Stegostoma tigrinum: one gene and its partner. The protein of the gene in region 2 interacts with the protein of the main gene of each other region in a pairwise test. Links are inferred from orthologs where the notes say so. Each region holds a gene or a part of one and is shown on either strand. Other genes may lie near its edges.

Region 1 (10,437 bases), on a different chromosome or scaffold from region 2:
AAGTCACGTGAGGGTTAAAAGCAAGGGAAAGTAAGTGGTCTTGCTCTGCTGCTGGTGAATACAACAGACAGTGATAGGTGAGTAGCAGGTAAGTCTTTACAACTCCTATCACTTACAGTACATGTTTTGGCTTCTAATCTGTAAGGGTAGTACATGGACTAGGAAAGAAGGGCCACAGATAACTGGAACAAAAACGTAAGTTGCTGCAAAAGTTCAGCAGGTCTGGTAGCATTTGTGAAGAAAAAATCAGAGTTAACGTTTCAGGTCCGGTGACCCTTCCTCAGAACTGATGGTAGCTGGGAAAAAGTCTACAGATAACTGGATTTGATTTAAGAAGGGTCCACTGGACCTGAAATGTTAACTCTGATATTTTCTTCACAGATGCTGCCAGACGCTGCTGAGCTTCCAGCAGCTTCTGTTTTTGCTCAGAGACTATTTAATGTAAAACTACTAAACTTCATCTCTTGCCTTCTATTATTTGCCAAATACTATATTGCACAAGGCAAGGTAAATGAATGCATGGCATACCTCTATACTACTATGTCCCTGTACTGTGTGGCATTCCACCTGTTGACTTATACCTCCACCATCTTTTTCTGGTAGAAGCTGGCCATTCTAAGCAAGGAATAGATAGAACTTTATGAGATGCAGCATTGTCAACATTCTCTACAGGGCACTTTGGGAGCCCTGTGCACTGCTTGGTATATAAGTTACTTATTTGGTTGAAATTCAGGCTTTGAAAGAAAAGTAGCTGTGGATTCAAAATGGTTCCAAAGGGTTCAATAGAAAGTTGCTGCAACATTTTCAAGTTACTAAAAAAAAGCTTGTGATGTAGATATAATGCAGTCACTTCTAGTAGCTTTTTATAAATCAACCTGTTTAAGCATGTTATAACAACTATCTGGAACAGGCAGGGCTTGAATCTAAAACTTCTGCCCCAGACGTACAGACACTACCACCGTGCTGCAAAAGCCCTGAGGTCTGGAGTCCAACAGCAATACATTACCTCCCCTATATTAAACCACCTGGTTATTTCAGAGATGTTATTACATATTTCTGGAGCAGGTTAGACTTGAACTCAGGCTTTTGTGCCACAGAGGCCTTATGTGTCACATGAGCTTAGCAAGACATTACTTCCTGATTCCCACATTGCAGTTTTAAAAAATAATTTAACAGTTGTGGTCCAACAAACTTGTGACTCTTGAACCACAGCATTGATTCTTAATTGCAATTTGGACAACTGCTGAAGGGCAAAACATGCTTGCCTAATCAGAGACACTCATATTCCATTGTGAATTACAAAATGTGCTACTGTCATTGCAAAATATATGTATGCAATAAGGAAAATGGTATCAGTTATGTGGACAGGGACCTTTACCTGCTGTGGAAAATTTATACCAAAATTGTTGTTCTGTTTCCACCACACTCAGATCAATAGCTTCCTCGTGTATGATCTTTAGTATTCTGTACTAAAGGATTTTTTTAGAATAAAGCATTTTTCTGGAATTATTTTAGAAATATGCATGCTGTGACTGTGCATATATTGCTGTGCTGAGATTAACTGTTGCATAATCTACATAAATGCTGAACTCAGTCATGATCCATTAGCAGGAATTACACATCAGCAGATAAGTTTACCGTGAAGCAAATCTGCTCAACCAGCAGTACCCCCTCCAAGTTTCATTGAAAAAGTTTGTGTATATCAGCGTTGGCAATGGCCTGATGAGACATTGTGCAATACTGAATTTCTACTTTTGACCTCTAACCGTATTAAGGGAGATTAAAAATGTATCAAGATAGCTAACTTCACCAGATCAAACCTTGAAGTTGTCACTTTGCAGATTAAGATGCACCCATAGGCATGGCCCAAGAAATTGTTTTGCATTTTTGAACTTCCCATTGCATCTCAGTACTGATTTTACAAATCTGATTTTTGTGTAACATATTTGTTTGTATAATCATACCTACTTTTAGGTCGATTTGAAGTGCTACTTACTCTATATTACCAAACTGTACATTGATGAATATAGTACAATAAAATTGTGATGCTGAATTGCAGGAGACCACTCACAAATGTGCGTCAAGCTGAGTTTTGAGATAGCCAAAGAAGCTCAAGCACAACTCAATTTTGCCTAGACATATTTCATGCAAAAACAAGCAAATAAAGACACAGTAACTATGTGAAAAATGCATTTCCTTTTATTTTCAATTTATTCACACTTTACAACGGCCGGAGCATGTACTGTAAAAAGTATTAAAAATGTTGGGGTTATCTCTGGAAAATCTCAATAAACTTTTTCTGCTTAACATGATGTCTTTGGGGAAATGTGATACAGAATGCCATGCTGTCAATGCAGTCAAACATTTTTCAGTGTTTGTGTTCCAGCACAAAACCCAGGCCATTTCCACGGCTGCAGAGCTTTAGTTAGGGAAACGCAGGCATTCATTAGTCTCTTCACAATTATCTGCCATTTCAGTGATACTTACATGGCTTCACAGAAAGATGTTGATGTCAAGTGTCAAGCTTGCCTGGAATCTTGTGCTGCAGTGCAGCCTGACTCCAATCTGATTGATTGGTGTGGTCACATGACAAGTTAACACAAATTCAATAAATCTGGAGTTACCAGTCCAGACTTTTGATATATGAACAGCATCTTTCTGTTAGATTTCCTAACTTATCTACAGCTAGTTCAGTTTTCATGTCCACATTGTTGCTTAATTTAACTTAGAATACTAGTCTTGGACAGCACGTGGATAAACTTCAGAAGTTATTCATCCCAGTCAGGCATAAAATTAAAACGGGAAATGTGGTCAGACCACAGCTTGCAAGGGAAACTAAGAATAGTGTTAAATCCAAAGAAGAGGCATACAAGTTGGCCATAAAAAGCAACAGACCAAAGAACTGGCAACAATTTAGATTCCATCAAAAGGAAAGAAACAGGCAATTAAGAGAGGAAGATAATAAAATGTGAGGCTGGATGAACACAGCAGGCCAAGCAGCATCTCAGGAGCACAAAAGCTGACGTTTCGGGCCTAGACCCTTCATCAGAGAGGGGGATGGGGGGAGGGAACTGGAATAAATAGGGAGAGAGGGGGAGGCGACCGAAGATGGAGAGTAAAGAAGATAGGTGGAGAGAGTGTAGGTGGGGAGGTAGGGAGGGGATAGGTCAGTCCAGGGAAGACGGACAGGTCAAGGAGGTGGGATGAGGTTAGTAGGTAGCTGGGGGTGTGGCTTGGGGTGGGAGGAAGGGATGGGTGAGAGGAAGAACCGGTTAGGGAGGCAGAGACAGGTTGGACTGGTTTTGGGATGCAGTGGGTGGGGGGGAAGAGCTGGGCTGGTTGTGTGGTGCAGTGGGGGGAGGGGATGAGCTGGGCTGGTTGTGTGGTGCAGTGGGGGGAGGGGATGAGCTGGGCTGGTTGTGTGGTGCAGTGGGGGGAGGGGATGAACTGGGCTGGTTGTGTGGTGCAGTGGGGGGAGGGGATGAACTGGGCTGGTTTAGGGATGCAGTGGGGGAAGGGGAGATTTTGAAACTGGTGAAGTCCACATTGATACCATATGGCTGCAGGGTTCCCAGGCGGAATATGAGTTGCTGTTCCTGCAACCTTCGGGTGGCATCATTGTGGGTTAATTAAGAGAGGAAAATGGAGTGTGAGAGAAGGATTGACAGGAACATACAGACCAATGGTAAAAACTTCAACTGATATGTGGTGAGAAAAAAAAAGTGAGAACTAGTTGGCAGACACGAAACAAACAGTTGAGATAAACAAAATAATAACCAAAAGAATTGTGGATGTTGTAAATCAGGAACAAAAACAGAATCCCCCTCATCCTCACGTGCCACCCCACCAACCTCCAGATCCAACGCATCATCCTCCAGCACTTCCACCATCTGAATTCCGACCCTACCACCGCAGACATTTTTCCCTCCCCACCCTTATCTGCTTTCCAGAGGGACCACTCTCTCCGTGACTCCCTTGTCTGCTCCCCACACTCCCCTCCAGCCCCACCTCACCTGGCACTTTTCCCTGCAACCACAGGAAGTGCTACTCCTCCCGCCTCACCCCCATCCCAGGCCCCAAGAAGACTTTCCACATCAAGCAGATGTTCACCTGCACATCTGTTAATGTGGTACTGCATCCGCTGTACCCGTTGTGGCCTCCCCTACGTCAGGGAGACCAAGCAGAAGTTTGGAGACCACTTTGCAGAACACCTACGCTCAGTTCACATGAAACAACTTAACCTCCTAGTCACGAATCATTTCAACTCCCCCTCCCATTCCGCAGATGACGTGTCCATCCTGGGCCTCCTGCAGTGCCACAACAATGCTACCTGAAGGTTGCAGGAACAGCACCTCATATTCCGCTTGGAAATCCTGCAGCCCAATGGTATCCATGTGGACTTCACAATTTTCAAAATCTCCTCCTCCTACCGCATCCCAAAACCAGCCCAGCTCGTCCAAGCTTCCTTAACCTATCCTTCCTCCCACCTCAAGCCTCACCCCAATCTCCTACCCACTAACGTCATCCTGTCCCCTCAGCCTGTCCGTCTTCCCTGGACTAATCTATCTCCTCCCTACCTCCCCACCTACACTCACCTTTACCGGCTCCATCCCCGCCTCTTTGACCGCTTTGTCTCCTCTCCACCTCTCCTCCTTTATCCAAATTCTATCCACCTCCCCCTCTCAATTTCAGAAACCCCTTTCTCTGCCCCATTTCTGAAGAAGGGTTTAGGCCCGAAACATCAGCTTTTCTGCTCCTAAGATGCTGCTTGGCCTGCTGTGTTCATCCAGCTCCACACCTTGTTATCTCAGATTCTCCAGCATCTGCAGTTCCTACTATCTTTACAATGTGTTATCTATATTTTAATCACTCTGTTCAGATATATTATTACAGCAGGTGGGACTTGAACAGAAGGTTCCTAAATTCTATGTTTCTTAGACATACCTTTCTCCTCCTCAAACACGATGTAAATTGCAATCACATTCTAACTGCTGCTACCCAGAGGTACCCTTCCTGTGCGGACGATGTCTGGCAGGCTGAAGCAGGGATCTGCATCCATACACTTTGTGGGAATGACAGTGTGACAAAACGGCTAAGCGATAGCAGGAACTGCAGATGTTGGAGAATCTGAGATAACAAGGTGTAGAGCTGGATGAACACAGCAGGCCAAGCAGCATCAGAGGAGCAGGAAAGCTGACGTTTCGGATCTAAACCCTTCTTCAGAAATACGTCGGGAAACTGACCCCTCAGGAAACCGGGAATGTATGTCGCCAGGAGACATTTCATTTCAGGAACCCGAGCACCATTGTTATGAATTAAATTAATGTCTAATCCTCATCCCACCCGTACAGTAATTATAATAACTGTTACCTTACTCAGCATTCGGCATCTCAACAACGCATCCACTGCCTGGGAAGCAGTTCCGGGTTCACACCGGAAACGGTCTTCTCTGTCAAGATGGCGGCACCTGGTAAGGGGAAGAAGAAAGTTGTTGACCAGCAGGAGCTGCGGCGGTTAATGAGGGAAAAGCAGCGGGCGAGCGCGGCCGGCAAGAGGATCGACTCACCACTCGCTAAATATCCTTTTGGAGGGTCCGGAGGAAATGGGAGTTAGATCTCTTCTGCCAGACCAGGAAACCGTTTAACTCAAAATCAGGAGGATTTGTCAGGCCTGAGGGCGTCTTGGTCCATTTCGTGATCGAGATTTTTCAAATTCACACATCTGAAGTGACACTAACCACATACGCCAGTCAACAGTTTGCATTTACAGTACACCTCATCTTACCCGTGAAGTGCTTGGCATAAGAGGGTTTGCCAGGCTAAATTGAAGGGGGAGGCAAGGAGTCTAAGCATGAACCTGGCAAATTCGTGGGAACAGAAGCGTTTTCCTTGAAAATTATGAGCGAAAATAAAAGGATCCTTGGTTAGTTTAGCTCAAACATTCCCAGGCATCAACAATCGCTCCTCAGCTGTTTGATAGTTGCATTCCTTTCAGATTCCATTTGTGCTCTTCTAACAACTACAGTGTAATTGTTTTTTATCTATCTCTGTGGTTTATTTTATATTGAAACTTGTGGGCTTGATTTCCAAGATTCATTTGAGTCACAGTTCTGGGTCATGTCTTTTGAAGATCTTTATTGAGATTTTCCAGAATAATCAAACATTTGTTATTGGAAAATCTTTCCCAATCATTAAGTAGTTTCATGTGCAGTTTCCTGAATAAGTGGCAATATTATTGTTATGGGATAGCTAAGTTGAGTTAAATGCATGACTTAAAGATTGTTTTGGGTGTAATGGCTTTCAGTTAATGTGGCACTAGTACTAGCTTAGAAGATCAAATCTGGGAATTGAATATACAGGGTATGTGACATTTTGAAAGGCTAGCAAGAGTAAAAGGTTGTGTTGTTTCTTTATTAGTTACGGACATGCTAAACTTAAATAAGGTCAATTAAAAACGGCAAAGTTAGCTGGTGTGGACTAGGAAAGGAGTTTTCAGAAAGATAATTGAGGAACAAATGACAAAGGAATAAAATGAATACTTTGCATCAAGAAGAAACTAATTGCATTCCAGAATAAGAAATACGAAAAAGATCTCGGGGTAGAATGGGGCTAACGTCTGATATATCAGTGGTCCTGATTCATTGCATCCGAGGATTTTAAAAGAAGTAGCTACAGATAGTGGATGAATGGTAATAATCTTCCAGTCCTTAGATTCCATAAATGCCCCAGATTATTAGAAAATTATTAACGTAACACTCTTATTCAAAAACTGACAAGAGACAGAGGAAAGTAACTAGGCCCGTGAGCTTGATTTCTGTCATTGGAAAAATGTTATAGTCTATTATAAAGATGTAATCACAGTGTGTTTATAAATGTTTAATATAATCAGTCAGCATGATTCCATGAAGGGGAAATCATGCTTGAAATGTTTATTAAAGTTCTTTGAGGAGAATAGATAAGGTAAATCGATAGATGTAATGTATTTGGGTTTTCAAAAGCTTCTGCACATTAAGTCTTAATAAGACAAGAGCCATGATGTTAGGGGTGGCATAGTTGCATGAAAGAAGATTGGCTAACAACTGGAAGACAGGAAGTTGGGGTGAGGAGGCATATTCAGGATGGTTGTAATTAATGAAGTACTACAGGGATAAGTGCTGAAGCCATAATTATTTATAATATAGATTAATCACTTGGATGAGGAAAATGATTGTATTTTGGTCACTTTTGGAGAACACAGAAATAAGTGGCTAAGCCTCGTGAGGATGAAACAAAGTGTCTGCAGAAGGATAAAAATAGGTGACTTGATTGGGTAAAGACTTGACAGATGAAGTATAATGTAGCAATATATGAGGTTATGCACTGTGGCAGGGAGAATAGATGAGGTAAATATCAGTTAAATGAGGAAAGACTGCAGGAATCTGCAGCAAAGTGATTTGGGGGGTCCTCATGCATAAATCACAAAAAAGTCAGCATCAGTGTTCAGCGGCTAAAAAGAAAGGCATATGGACTGTTGGCCTTTATTTCAAGGGAATCATACAAAAATAGGAAGGTCTTCTAAAAGCTGCACGATGCACTAGTTGTACCACATCTAGAATACTGTAAATAGTTGGCCCCTTCGTTTAAGGAAAGTTGGCATTGGTGTCAATCCACAGAAGTTTCACTAGCTTGATTGTGGGTAGGGAGAGATTTTCTTATAGGTGAAATTGAGTTGGAGTTTGGAGGAATAAGAGAAAACCTAATTGAAACATTTTAGGTTCTTAGGGGGCTTGACAGAGTAGATGCAGGAAAGTTGTTTTCCCCTTGTATGAGAGTCTAAGACCAGAGGGCATAATTTCAGAGGCTGGAAGTTGTCCATTTAAAACTGAAGAAATTTCTTCCCTGAGTACAGTGAATCTGTGATTTTGTTTTTGTGTCACATGGCTAAAGAGACTGGGTTAAGTACATACAAAGCTGAGATTGACAGACTTTTTATCAGTAAAGGATTCAAGGATTAATGGAGAAAAGGCAAAAAAGTGGTGTTAAGGATTATCAGATCAGGCTTGATTTCACCGAATGACAGAATAGACTCAAAGTACTGAATGATCTACTCTTCCTTCTCCTTCTGATCGTTGGTCTTGTGAAGTCTGCATCAGTGGGCTTTACATTTTCTTTCTTTATGGATTAGGTTTTAACTTTGATGTTATAAAGTAAATTGGACTTCAAAATGATTATTGAGGCTCAGGTTTGTTTTTGGACTGACAACCTGCTCCCTAGCTTTGCAACTATTTCTGTGTCTGCTAAGCTGGTTTTTACAAATCCACAGAGTTGTAGGAACCTCTTAAAATTACTTCCTACTGACCGTTGCCTTGTCATCTGTAGTTTTCTCCCCCTTGCTTCTGCCACTTTGCACATTGATCTGCTGTTTATCTCCAAGCCTCCTATCTGATTATTGTCTTGTTGTATCTCAACAACTTTTCATGAGCATAGATACATGAAAAATAAATTGTTATTTTGACAGAGAAGACAGGTTGAAGTCAAATATAGGAACAGGGCACGCAAAAGAGGCACTGCAAACAAGTGGACAGGCAAACACAGTGAGCAGTTTGGTAATCACATGGGAATTTTCCTCCCCCCTTTATCAAGGTGAAAACACCATGCACATCATCAGCATTCTTCCAACTAAAAGAGATAATGTATATACAATAAACCAAAGCATTTAGGTTGGGGTAGTTACAATATGCCCTTTGGATGATTTTTTTAAAGAGACCAATCAATGAGATGCAGGTTTTGCTGAAGTGCTGCAGATTAAGTGGTTTCAAATATTATTATGGGAAGTGTTGGCAGCAGCTGCCACTGATTATCGTGGTGATTTTGGTGATTTTTCTGTTTTCCTCTGTGTGAAAATCAATTTTCAAGGCCTTTTATAAATAGCAAAGATGAAAGTTGCTGAGCTCCCTTTCTTGAAAACTGTAAAACGTTCTGGTTCTTTTAACTGTGCATATATTAAATCTGTCACCATGGACTTAATGTTGCAGAATTTGCTAGTTACTTGCAGTGGATTCTTGTTTAGAGTGGCCAAGGATTGATTTACAACGCTGTCCACAACAAGTTTTCTTGACAGTGATAGACAAGGAGAACCGGTTACAAGCTTGAGAGAGATAACCCCTGAGTCTTTCTCACAGTCTCTATTGGAGCAAATGCTGCAGTGTCATTACCACAGAGAAGTGCTGTGATCAGGACTTATCAGTCTGAGTGAATTGTAGAGTTCATTGTCTGCATCCATAACATTAATTGTCGAAAAAATATCAGATTCAGTGAATTCAAAAGATGTTGATGAAATGTCAGAAAAAAATTGAAGCTTTCACATGTCAAAAGTGCTGTTTCCTAAAATAATTCACATCATGAAGCCATGAAATATATGCTTGTGTATTATGGGGCCAACAATGTTGATTGATGGCCACTAACAATAATTGTAATATTAAATGGTTGCTTACACCATTTATTGCTAGATTTAACTTTTTGCACAAGTTTAATGGCTTGTTACACATGTACTTCAAACTTCTGGGAGTTGAAAGATTGTATATAATACTGCCAAAGCTAGCTGTGCAAATGATCCAGAAAAACTTGCTCACTATAAGTTCCTAGCCAATTTCTATATTCATAATGAAAAATCTTGGCTATTATCTTTTAGATTAGATTCCCTACAGTGTGGAAACAGGCCCTTCGGCCCAACAAGTCCACACCGCCCCTTAGAGCATCCCATCTAGACCCATCCCCCTGTAACGCACACACCCCTGAACACTACGGGCAGTTTAGCATGGCCAATCCACCTAGCCAGCACATCTTTGGACTGTGGGAGGAAACTGGAACACCCGGAGGAAACCCACGCAGACATGGGGAGAATGTGCAAACTCCACACAGACAGTGGCCCGAGGTTGCATCTGAACCTCGGTCCCTGGCACGGTGCTAACCACTGAGCCACCGTGCCTCTTTTAGCAAAGTGAGTTATCAGATAATCCAAAAACCCATTCCTGTCATGTTGTTACTACTGAAGATGCATGCTAAATTTACATTTGCTGATTCTTAAGTAAAATGGAATAATTATATCATTTTAAAATACAAAGACTTTGTTGTGGTGCAGATGAATTATTGAACCCTATTTTGCAAATGCAATGCTGATGAGGAAAATGTAATGAACAAACTGGTGACAATTTTGAAATTTTTATCTTTATTTAGAGTATCACGAGACAATGAAATTCTTTCTGTACTGGAAACGAAAACTTAAGCTACATGTTTCACTGAATAGCAGTCATTACATACTGTTGGCATGTCTTTTGCCTCAATTAAAGCTTTGGCATATTTTAAAATTAGAATTGAATTAGAATTAGATTTTGTTGTCACGTACTTAAATATAGGAATATATGAGTATGGTGAGAAGCGCAAAGTAGCCATTCTCCAA
Region 2 (11,480 bases):
TCACCGAACTCGAAACTCTGTCTAACCCTGTTTTCTCACACAGATGCTGCCACATCTACTGAGTTTCACTAGCAATTTCTCTTTTCGTTTGTTTCCTGACCCCCAATTAATCATTTGGGACACTTGTGGCAACTTGAAGACATCTAACCTACCACTGAGTAGCAACTGATATTTGATGTAACTTAGCAGGGTCAGACAGAGTATTGTGAAGTGAAAGCTTGACTGGTTTTGGCATTAATACAACCACCAGTTTACATACTCTCATTTCACCCTACTGTGCTAGTTTCTTTGGATTTAACCATGAGTATTTTTTCCAAAATGATGTGAAATAATATGTTTAACAAAAGAAAACTTAACCAATAATAATAAATACCAAAAGACAAAATATTGTGAATGTTGTTACTTTCTTCACAGACGCTGCCTGATCTGCGGAGTAGTCCTACATTTTTCCATTTACATGAATAACAAATCAACACATAGCAACTATTAATTGTCCTTGGTGTTATAGTTTTAGCTATGCTGGCTTTAATTCTTATCTACTGTACACATTTGTGTCTGCTATTAATTTATACCTTCCCCCAACAAACATTTTAAGTCTTCCATAAAGACATTTCACATTCTTGGAGATTGGGTTTAATCCCTTAAATTAGAGTAAAAATATGACCAAAAGTTCACAGTATAAAGAACTAGATTCATTATTTTTATTTTAACATCCTTAACATTTAACTTCCTTAAATTTAACAATTTTCCCCGCTCTTCACTGTACAAGCCAACTTCAATAAACCCAGGTTGTTTTCATTATACAATAGTTTCCATGCAGGGTGTCCATGGCAAATATCCTGTACACTCACAGTATGTGGCGTTCACGTTATATATTCAATATAGGTTAACAGTCAACAGATAATTTATTTCATTGCATAAGGAGACTGTTTGAAATACCACCTGTATTCCAAGCTCAGAGAAATTAATCAATAAATATAAACTAAAGAAGGAAATTCGAATGTAAAAAAACTTATGAAAAGCACAGTTGATATGGAATACATGTGTGGCTCTAATTTTGTAGGCAGTATGCCCATTTGCACAAGAGCACTGACTGTACAGGATTTTTGGTACAGGTTCGGTGTGTGTGCTGGAGTTGGTAAGGGGACATGGGCAGTGCTGTTGAATATATTTTATTGTATGGGGGACAAGATGAGCTATATATATATATATATATATATATATATAAAACAAGTGTATCCTGCTAAAGTTACACAGCTTTTTGTTCAGCTGTCTGTGTTGCTGTCAATGCAACTTATTTCAGCATTTACTTTCAAAGATAGTACTTCAAGTATTTTTTCTACCCTTTATAAGGATTTTCATTAAGTCCCTGTTGAAATTTTTGTTTAACTGTGTCATGGGTTCATCTATTTTCATCAATGGGCCATAATTTGCTGTAGCAATGCATTAAGCACCATTCATCTTTCGTTGAACTCATTGTTCATTTAAACTCAACATGTTACAAGTTGTTGAGAGTGTGATCTGATGAATTTGGAGTGAGGCAACCTGGGGGTTACCATCAGTTCTGAGGAAGGGTCACCAGACCTGAAACATTGACTCTGATTTCTCTCTGCACATGCTACCAGACCTGCTGAGCTTTTCGAGCAATTTCTGTTTTTGTTTCTGATTTACACCATCCACAGTTATTTTGGTTTTTATCATGTATCTGGGATTTGACTGAACATCGAATATCCATTTATCTCCTTAATCAATCAGATTAAAATTGTGAATAAAATGCACGAGGACTTGTAAATTAGAAAGGATGAATTCAGTTTAAAATTAGGTACAGAAAGAGAGAGATATGAAAATTAGACTTGGATGGAATAAAAAAAGTCAAAAATAAAAGTAAAATTGTTTTTACAACAAAAATGCCATAAGCTGCTTTGCACCATTTCTTGGACACAGGGTTTGTGATTTGTGACCTGGTTATACTGATCCTGTGGAGTTTCTGTGGAGAATCTGGTGTTGCCAACTCATTTACCCGATTAGAGCATAGCACCAGGTGTCTGGCATGTTGCTGCCTGCTTCTGTGGTCAGTAGTGAGCCAAGTAGTGTTTACTGATAGCATGTGGTGCAGCCGGCCTTCCGTTGTTACAGGCAGTCTGCCTCTCTCTTAAATATCCCTTGTAGTCACTCAATTGTGATCAGAATGATCAGAACTACATGTGATTCTCCAGCATTGGCCAGGCTAATTCAGCCTCCCCGCTCTTCTAACATATATTTCAACTAATAAATAGCTGCTTAACTTCAATAACTTTGTACCTACATATTTTCATTGTCATCTTCACCATCTATCCTTTTATTTTCAGAGATCTGTAGACAAGCATTCCAAGGTCTCTCTGTTCCTCTATAATTGTCACCATTTATTTTGTTTTCCTTTGTTTTATTGACTTCCCAAGTGCATTATCTCTTTTCCCTGGATTGCGTTTCACATACCACTTTGTACCCATTTCACCAAGTCATTAACATTTTCTTGCAAGCTGCTGGTTTATATTTTTCTCTCAACCATGTAGCCAATTTTCATATCACCTGCAACATTCTTAGTCATGTCCCCTGCATCATTGATACATACCTGGCAAATCAATGGGTCAGTGCTGAGCCCAATAGACCCCACTGGAAGCAGAATCGTGGTCACATTATTCCCATTCATTACTTGCTACAAAATTGTTTTCAATCAAACTTACCACTTGCCCTTGGAGCTCACACTTTTCTGATCAGTCCTTCATGAGGAATGCTGTCAACACCTTGTTAAAATCCAGATAGACTATGCAAAAACACTCTAATTTCATTGCCCCTGTTTGTTACCTCCACAAAAACATTCAATCAACTTAGTCAGATACAACCTTCCATTAAGAAATCCATGTCGACGCTTCAATTAATCATTACAGAAAGAATACACTATGGATGCTTGGAATCTGAGGCAAAAATAGAACATTCAAGAAATATTCAGTGGGTCTGACAAAGTTAAACTTAGATGATTAAAGATTATTGACTTGAATTATTATTGTGAATAATCCTTGTCTTTCTAAATAAAGGTTGATGCCATTCCTTTGAACCTTTTTCAGTTATGTATCTGTCACTGGCATTGGGCTGACTGGCCTGGAATTGCTCAGTCTACCCCCTTATTCATTTTTAAACAAGGATACAACATTAGCAGTCCTCAAATTTATAGATTATATGCTTGCTGCAAGAGGACACAGGAAAATTATGGTCAAAGCCTTAAATATATTTTTCCAGGGATACACTTCATCTGGGTCTGATATCTACTTTCAAAAATACGAACTCCCTTCGTACTTCCAATGTGTTCATTAACAATAAAGCCCACACCTTCTGCCTCCACATACAGGTTACCTATTTTGGTTTTTAACTGCCCTTAGAAACCCTATTGCTCTTCATATATTTATGAAATATATTTGAATTTTCTTTGACTTAACTTCATGATATCTCTTTGTTTTCCTAATTTCCTTTATTTCAATGTTACCCCTGCACTTTCTGCACTTGTCAAAACAGAATTAAGTTTTGATATCTCTGTAAACTTCCCAATGTTTGTCTCACATGTGTATGCTCTTTGACATTCTATGGCTCTAAGCTTAGGAGTCTCACTTTCTGTTTGTGGAAATACTTGTTGTGAATCCTGTTTATTTCCTCTGACTGCCTCTCAGCTTGCTAATTCAGGTGAATAAAACTGACTAAACATACTTGGAATCTTTTGATCCTGGTCTATCTTTGTCCTCTTCTATAACTACAGCAAATCCACCTGAATTATAATTACTAAAACAAAAATATTCTCCTATTGCTAGTCTGACTAGCTACATTTCCTAAACCTAAGTTCAGAACTGTTTTTTTTCTGCTTTTTGTTGAATTGCTTGTTATATTGTGTATGAACTTGGCTGCATTTTGAGAATTTGGTGCAAATCCCATGTTGAAATAAACTAGGACATGTGTTACTGTGAATGTGTTTTTTAAACTCCTTACACACTATATCAGAAAATAATCCAAGAATGTGCTAAATGCCTAATATTTTGTCAGTCCTGTTCATAATCCATGAAGTATATCCATAAACACAATGTAAAGAACCAAACATGGTTCTCCTTCTCAATGGTCCTATTGTTTTGTTCCTAGTGTCAAGTAATAGTAACAGACTTTTAATTTACCTTGTGTTTAAAGAATGGAATTCAGGTCAGCATTTGGGATAGGAATGCAGTTTTTGGTAGTTCTGCTGGGGAGCTTTGCGCATTGCTGCTTTTTTTTCTCACGGGCACTATTCAGTTTCAGGATGTCCCAATTATAGTGATGACAACAGAAAGATATTTATACAAGTCCTCTGAAGACACTTGCCTTATTTAGCATTTGCCCTACATGCAGCGACGAAAAAAATAATTTTACTATATTCTTTCAAAATTTCCCAGTATGAACATGTTTGAAGTTTAAAATGTCTTATTTTTATTTTAAGGCCTTAATTTGTAACTATTTCAAGGCAATGTGTTGTAAATTTGTTAAATTTATAAGATATGAGTGTCCCAAATTGGAGTGCTATGGAAGGCAAATGCTAACTTTTAGGAGATTTAAATAGGCTGATAATATTTTGAACATTTACTTGAGGAAAGCAATGAAAACAAATGTGGGCGTTTTAAAATTATGCATCTGTTGCGCCCTTATTGCATCTATTGGCAGGAAACTGGCCAACTTGAGTATGCGCCCAGTGCTAACCTGAAAAGAGAAAGTGAAGTTCCTCCTGAACTGAGGACTAACTTCAAGTATTCCTGTAGCAGATGGCACAAGTTGATCTATGATTTTTTTTTCCTGAATCATAGTTTTGTAAGCTCCTGTCCCTCAATGATTGATGGCCACGCCTGAGGTAGTAGGCACAAGGGGTGATACAATTAACTTGCTGGCACCATCTGACAGGCTGTGCTTGTCAAGCTTTCCCGGCCAACTCCTCGATTTTGTAGTTCAAGTCTTAAATGTTGCCATAGCAATATGTGAATGCGTCGAAGAAAACAGCCACAGAAGACGAATGCTAGCGTATTTGTTGAGTTCTCGACACCCTCATGTAGCAAAGATTGTTCATTCATAGCAATGGGCAAAGTGGCCGCCCAGCAGACTCAAAGCGAGAGCCGTGTCCGCGGATGTCATCTCGCAGCCTTTTTACGCCTTTTCCGCTCTTCCGTGTCCGCTGCTGTCCCGGCAACAGTTGAACACAACATGAGGGACGGTGCACAAACATTTGCAAACTGCACCTTCAGCTGGGGCCGCGTTAATGGAGCAGAAGGTGTATTCATTTGCGATTTATGGTCATAACTCGAGCCTAGAACTAGAAAGGGGAAAGTGGTGCAATAATTAGTAAGCAATGTGAACCTACTATTTGCAATAACCAGCCTGTGATTTGAACCCTCTTAAGGTGCAAACAAGGAGCAAGGAATGCAATCAGAGGACTGGAAGCAAGACGCTCGAATAGCATGGGGCCGACTTCAAACCTACATTACTAGCAGCAAGGTGCTTCGATCTGAAAACATAGGTACACTTATTTAAAAAATAAAACAAAAGCTTTTTAGTCCATGCAGTCTTTAAAAAAAACGGTGACGAATCATGCGCGGGTTTGTGCAACGTGGGCTAAAGTTTGACGTATTTTTATATTTACCACGTTAAGTTCCGCCTAATTGCCCCCAAAGTAATCAAACTATGTGACGATATGAGGGAATGATCATTGGAAGTACTGGTCTTTACAGGGCTTTTAAAAGTAACAGGGACTGTGTGAATGGCCAAATTGGCGAGTTCGTACATTTAAGAATCCTTGAGCTGTACCACTTAATAAATTCTGGCGTTGAATGCGCCAGAACTTCATTTGATGGTGATATTCAGAATCAATGGTGCAACATGAGGAAGTACGTGGCTTTTCTCCTGAGCTGTATGCTTCTTGCCCGAAGTTTGATATTCTTTCAAAACAAGAATCTGTGAAGAGATCTCTTAAGGAGGCATTGACGCTGTAAAACAGGGGGGAAAAACACCCTTTGATGTCCACTTCACAAAGCAGTTTGTGGAGAAATAAAAAATAAAAGGATGACACTGAGCCAGGAGATAGGATTGAACACTCAGCTGAAGCATGTGTTTTAGGTGGACTTCAAAATGCTGACTGAAATAAAGGATCATGATGATGTCACGACAAAGCGCGACAACACTTTGGCACTAATGTTGAATGTGGAGGTGCCGGTGTTGGACTGGGATGGACAAAGTCAGAAGTCACAGAACACCAGGTCATATTCCGAGATAACAAAGTGTGGGGCTGGATGAACACAGCAGGCGAAGCAGCATCTTAGGAGCACAAAAGCTGATGTTTCGGGCCTAGACCCTTCATCAGAAAAAAAACCCAGGTCATATTCCAACAGGTTTATTTGAAATCACAAGCTTTGGAAGCGCTGCTTCTTTGTCACGTGCAGGAACAGCGCTTCAAAAGGTTGTGATGTCAAATAAACCTGTTGTTATATAACCTGGTGTGGTGTGACTTCTGACTGAGCAGAATTGACATAATGGACCGGGTGAGAAATCCAGAGGAAGAGGTTGCAAAGCTCGAGAAAAGAAATTTAAGTTGCAGAAGCCTGTAGAGGCGGTTACATTGATAATGAAAACAATGAGGATTTTGAATTCACATTGCTGGGACACAGGGAGTTAATGTCCATCAGTGGAAATTGAAGGGACAGACATTGTATGAGTTTGGACAAATTGGTCAGTGAGGATGTCAAAGAATATATCGTACAAATCAAGTGTACAAATGGCAGAACAGTGAGTGGATAAGTATTTTTATTGTATGGGGGGTTTAGGCACGGACAACAGTGACACACATTGTGAGGGTAAAAATGAGCACTTTTGGACAGGATGTGGGAATTGATACTAGACTGTGTGCTGAGATTTCATACAACCTGATTTCACCTGAGCAAGTGGCTGGGGATGCAATTGTAGTCTATGACAAATGAACAGAACACACGATAGTGACAGAAAAAGATGGCTTTGATTTTTTGGGAGAAATTTTAGTTTGAACAAAATTAGACTGGCAGATAGCAAAGCTAAGGATATTCAGGGTAATATCCTTCAAGAATTTGTACATTCTTGACTTCAGCTCTGTTTCTTTTCAATGGTAGACAAATTAAGTAAAATTGCATAACAGGAAGAAAACCTTGCTAAGCAAGTGCAAACATTGCAGATAATATAGCTCACAAGATTATCATCTCAATTCTCTTACTCACACATGTTCCACTATCATCTGATACTGCCACGGTCCCCTCAAATCCACTGTTGTTATGACATCTGCGAAAAAAAAATTCTTGACCCCTCTTTCAAAGTGTCAGACCATCTCAAATCTTTCTTTCCTCTCCAAAGCCCTCAAAGTTGCTATCACTTCCAAAAACCATCCCCAACATTTCCAGAATGTTACATTTGATTCCCACCAGTCAGCTTAAACTCAGTCATGGAACCAAAAAAATCGACTGCTGTCAAAGTCACAAATGATATTCTTTGTTTCATTGTGACTGTGGGAAATGAACACTTCCTATTCTTCTTGAAGCCCGTACCTCTGGCAATCAACTGGCTGACTCATCTAATCCACTTCTATCTGTCCAGTTGTAGCCGAAGTTTCACTTTGCGACCTCAACTGTTTGCTCCTTGGCTCTGTTTTTTTTTCTCAACTACATATTGCCCCAAAGTAGCATCTTTGGAAATCAAACTATCAATTTCCACATGTACACTGATGAGACCCAGACCCACCTCATCACTAGCTCTCTCTGATTTGTTCCCTTGCTTATCCAACTAAGTAAGTGTAAATTTCCTTCAACTAACTATTAGGAAGATCAAAGCTACAGGTCTTCTCCCACAAACCCACTCTCTGACCAGTGGCTCCGTTCCACTGCCTAGTCATTGTCTATGGCTAAATCAGACTGTTTGTCCTCTTATTATTTTATTTGATGCCATTTTGAGCTTTCAACTACATACACACTTCATCAACAAGCTGCTTACTTCCATCTCTGTAACTTTGGTTAACTTCAATCCTGTTTTAGCTCTTCTGCTGCTGAAATCCTCATACAAGTTATGGTTTACTGTAAACTTGATAATTCCAATGGTCAGCCTCCCATTTATATAAAATTGTGTTCATCCAAAGCTCTGCTGTCTATGTCATAACTCAAAACAATTCACGTTTACCAATCATACCTGCGCGCACTGATCTACACTGATGGTTGGTCTGGCAATGCTTTAATTTAAAAATCATCTTTATTTTCAAATCTCTCCATGAGGCGATGTTACCTCTCACTATGCCTGTAATCCCTTCCAACCCCACAACTCTTCAAACTCTCTGAATTCCTTCATTGATGGCCTTTGGCACATCCTCGGTATTATTCGCCTTATCATTGGTGACCACACCTGTAGTTGATTGGATTCAATGCGCTGGAATCCTCTCGCTATATCTGTATAGCTTCCTTTTTTTCCTGAAAACAAGAATTGAAACTTAATCCAAATTAGAAATATGCTATTGTAAATGCTGGGGGCAAAAAAAAACAGAGAGTGCTGGAAACTTTGGAAAATCTGGCAGCATCTATGGAGAGAGAAACAAAACATCAAGGTTCTGAAGAAGAGATAACATGGTGTGAAGCTGGATAAACACAGCGGGCCAAGCAGCATCAGAGGAGCAGGAAAGCTTGATGTTACAGGTCGGGACCCTTCAAGTTAGCTTTGATTCAAATATTAATTCTATTTCTTTCTCCACAGGTCAACTGTATTAATCTTGCTTTGTGTGGTTGAGTGGCAAATATTAGACACCTTAGGTAGCTTTATATGTTACAGGTGATATATAAATGAAACTCATTGTTGCTTCAGAGAATACTGCATTGTACAGGAGCTTGAAGGACTATTCAACAATCTATGTGACCATTTTCACAGGATAATGCAGGTGAATGCATACTTCCCTAGCAGAAGTTATGATGCACTTGTTTCAAGATAGTCCAGTCTCTGTTATTTATTTTGACTGAACAGTGCAAAGTAGGAAACCAGAAACGTAACCAGAAACATGCAGCTGTGGCTCATGATCTCTTTGCACCTTTTGTAGAGAGCAGCAGCACAGATTTAATGAGGTGCATGTGTTCTTTAGGAGTTGTCACTGATTCTGTTGCTTTGACAGATTCTCTGGTACAGTTTCATGAATCATTCTGTGTGCTGCATGAATCATAACTTTGATCTTCGGTGAGGACCCCATATGGATAAGCTGGAGCAAGAGGCCACACAACATCACGAGGGAGAGGCCATTATAAAGTTGTAGGAACCAAAGAATCCAGCTGCGTGAGGACCTTTTCCATTTGGCAATGTCTCAAATGACACTGTCAGTTAATCACGGCATTTACTCCCTCCAGCTTTCCCATGCCCTGGAATAAATCTCCATCCTTTATATTTGCACAGCAAACCTTGTAATTTGACAAGCCCAGCACTCCTCTCAAATATATGTGGATTTCCAGAGGCATACATATGAACTGACTCATTGCAACTCAAGTACCTTCAAATTATATAAAAATGTGACATATTTATGATCTTCATAGGCTCCAGCTAAAAGCTGCCATATTAATGAGACATAAGGAGACTTTTCTGACCTTCCACCTCACTTTTCCCTCTCAGCAGTGTAAAGGTATTGATGTTAAAGATTTGGCAATAAAGGAAACAAAATTCAAACCAAGTCTTTTTTTTCTGTTTTGCAGGACCAGGGAACAGTGATATGGGTCTTCTAGTTAGAACTTCTGGCAATAGCCCGAAATCCCTGATGTCACTGGCCATACCTGCTGCTGCATCCCTCTCAGGTCTGCACCAGCACCTATTTTCCGTACCCATCTCCAGGTGCTTGGCACTGCCAGGCTGTTCGCCTGTGACGGAGGACCTGAAATTAAAGAAAATGATTTGAACTCAAACTTACAAGCAGGCTCAGGGACTAAGGTCAGATCACACTTTAGGTGCGCTATTCCTGCCTGACAGCTGAATAGGATGAAAGATAAATGAGTCCTGATAGCTGTCAAGGGGCAAATGCAAAGACTGTATTTGCAAATAAAGTAACTAAAATAGACCAGAGTTTACAGCTGGGATTGAGGCATTTTTGACAAATCATTCAGTTTCCCTGAATACCACACTTATTATCTTTCCTAACCAGTAATATTTGATTCAAAGCAGTTACATTATTATAGTTTATGACATTCATATAACTTAAGTCTACCATAGTGTATTCATTGTTAGAAATTATTGTTGCCATATAATTTTTTGACCATTCGTCATACAATTGAATATGAATGAAAGTACAATGAAGGAACACTTAAAAAAACATTGTTTGCATACATTTTAGCTTCAGTACAAATCTGGCACACACCTATTTAGTAAATTCACACCAGGATTTATAACGAAAATGTTCATCACAAAACATGTCCAGTGCTGGGATGCAGGCATTGGAATTGCTCCAGTCAAATGGATGTCACCTAACACCTCTGTTGAACCTTGTGACACTTGAATCAATCAGTAATGTATATCAAGAGCTGTTGTTCCTTCAATTCTCTTGTTTCAAAATAGTGGAACAATTTTGGGGAAAGCTGTAAAAATATGCCTAATTCTCACACTGACGTCTCCGGTGCAGACTTCAGATTTGGGTAAAAAATGTGAGTACCCTGTAGGCTTTGGAGAGTGAACAAAGACTTATATAACAAATACTGTGCAACTGGGAAATGGAGACAAGAAATGTCAGCTCAATGACATAACATTATATACTGGTGTCTTTGGAACACAGCTGTGAAGGCTAGGCTTTTGAAGTATAATTTCAATTGAATTCTAAACAAAATGCAAAGCACTGATACCACAAGAGGCAACTGAGGTTCCAAAGCTGAGTATCAATTTGTGGATATCTGGAGCAGTAAACAAAAACTGTGCAGTTATATGCGTAGAAAAAAGATATTTTAGCTGTCCAGGCAATGAATTTCTGTAGTCTTATAACTTAAATATATTACTACTTGATGCCTGGAACTCACAACAAGATTAACCTTGAATCCTGCTTGATAGCTTATCCATGTAGGAGACTGTGCTATATCATTCCCACCTGTTAATAAAGCCATTGTATTCTCTTCAAATATTTCTCCAACCTACAGCTGAATGGTCACTTCCAATGAATTGCAAAGTGCCTGCCTTGGCCCCCTCTCTCATATTAACTATGTGATCTCCCCTCAGTAACATTACAGATATGTATGAAAACAATATGCCTATCAAAACTAAACTTTCACTCACAATCATAAGACCAGAGAAGTAGAATCAGGCCATTTGGTCCATCATGGCTGGAATGTTTCTCAATCCCATTCTCCTGCCTTCTCCATGTAACCCATGATCCCCTTACCAATCAAAAACTTCATTGCTCCTGTCTTAAATACATTTAATAATGT

What was found.
Region 1: the proteins of aqr (region 2) and znf830 interact in a two-hybrid assay, tested with the Homo sapiens proteins (2 studies listed by BioGRID and IntAct, with this or other methods). The link is inferred for Stegostoma tigrinum from reciprocal best matches to the Homo sapiens genes AQR and ZNF830.

Annotation. Positions count from the first base shown.
Region 1 is NC_081355.1:92,354,393-92,364,829, reverse strand, and holds the start of znf830 (zinc finger protein 830), read left to right. Parts: upstream 1-5,445; 5' UTR 5,446-5,457; coding exon 5,458-5,579; intron 5,580-10,437.
Region 2 is NC_081363.1:64,633,852-64,645,331, forward strand, and holds the start of aqr (RNA helicase aquarius), read right to left. Parts: upstream 5,026-11,480; 5' UTR 4,750-5,025; intron 1-4,749. Other genes in the region: uncharacterized protein LOC125455427, read left to right, coding at 5,026-5,311, 5,441-5,557, 9,771-9,869.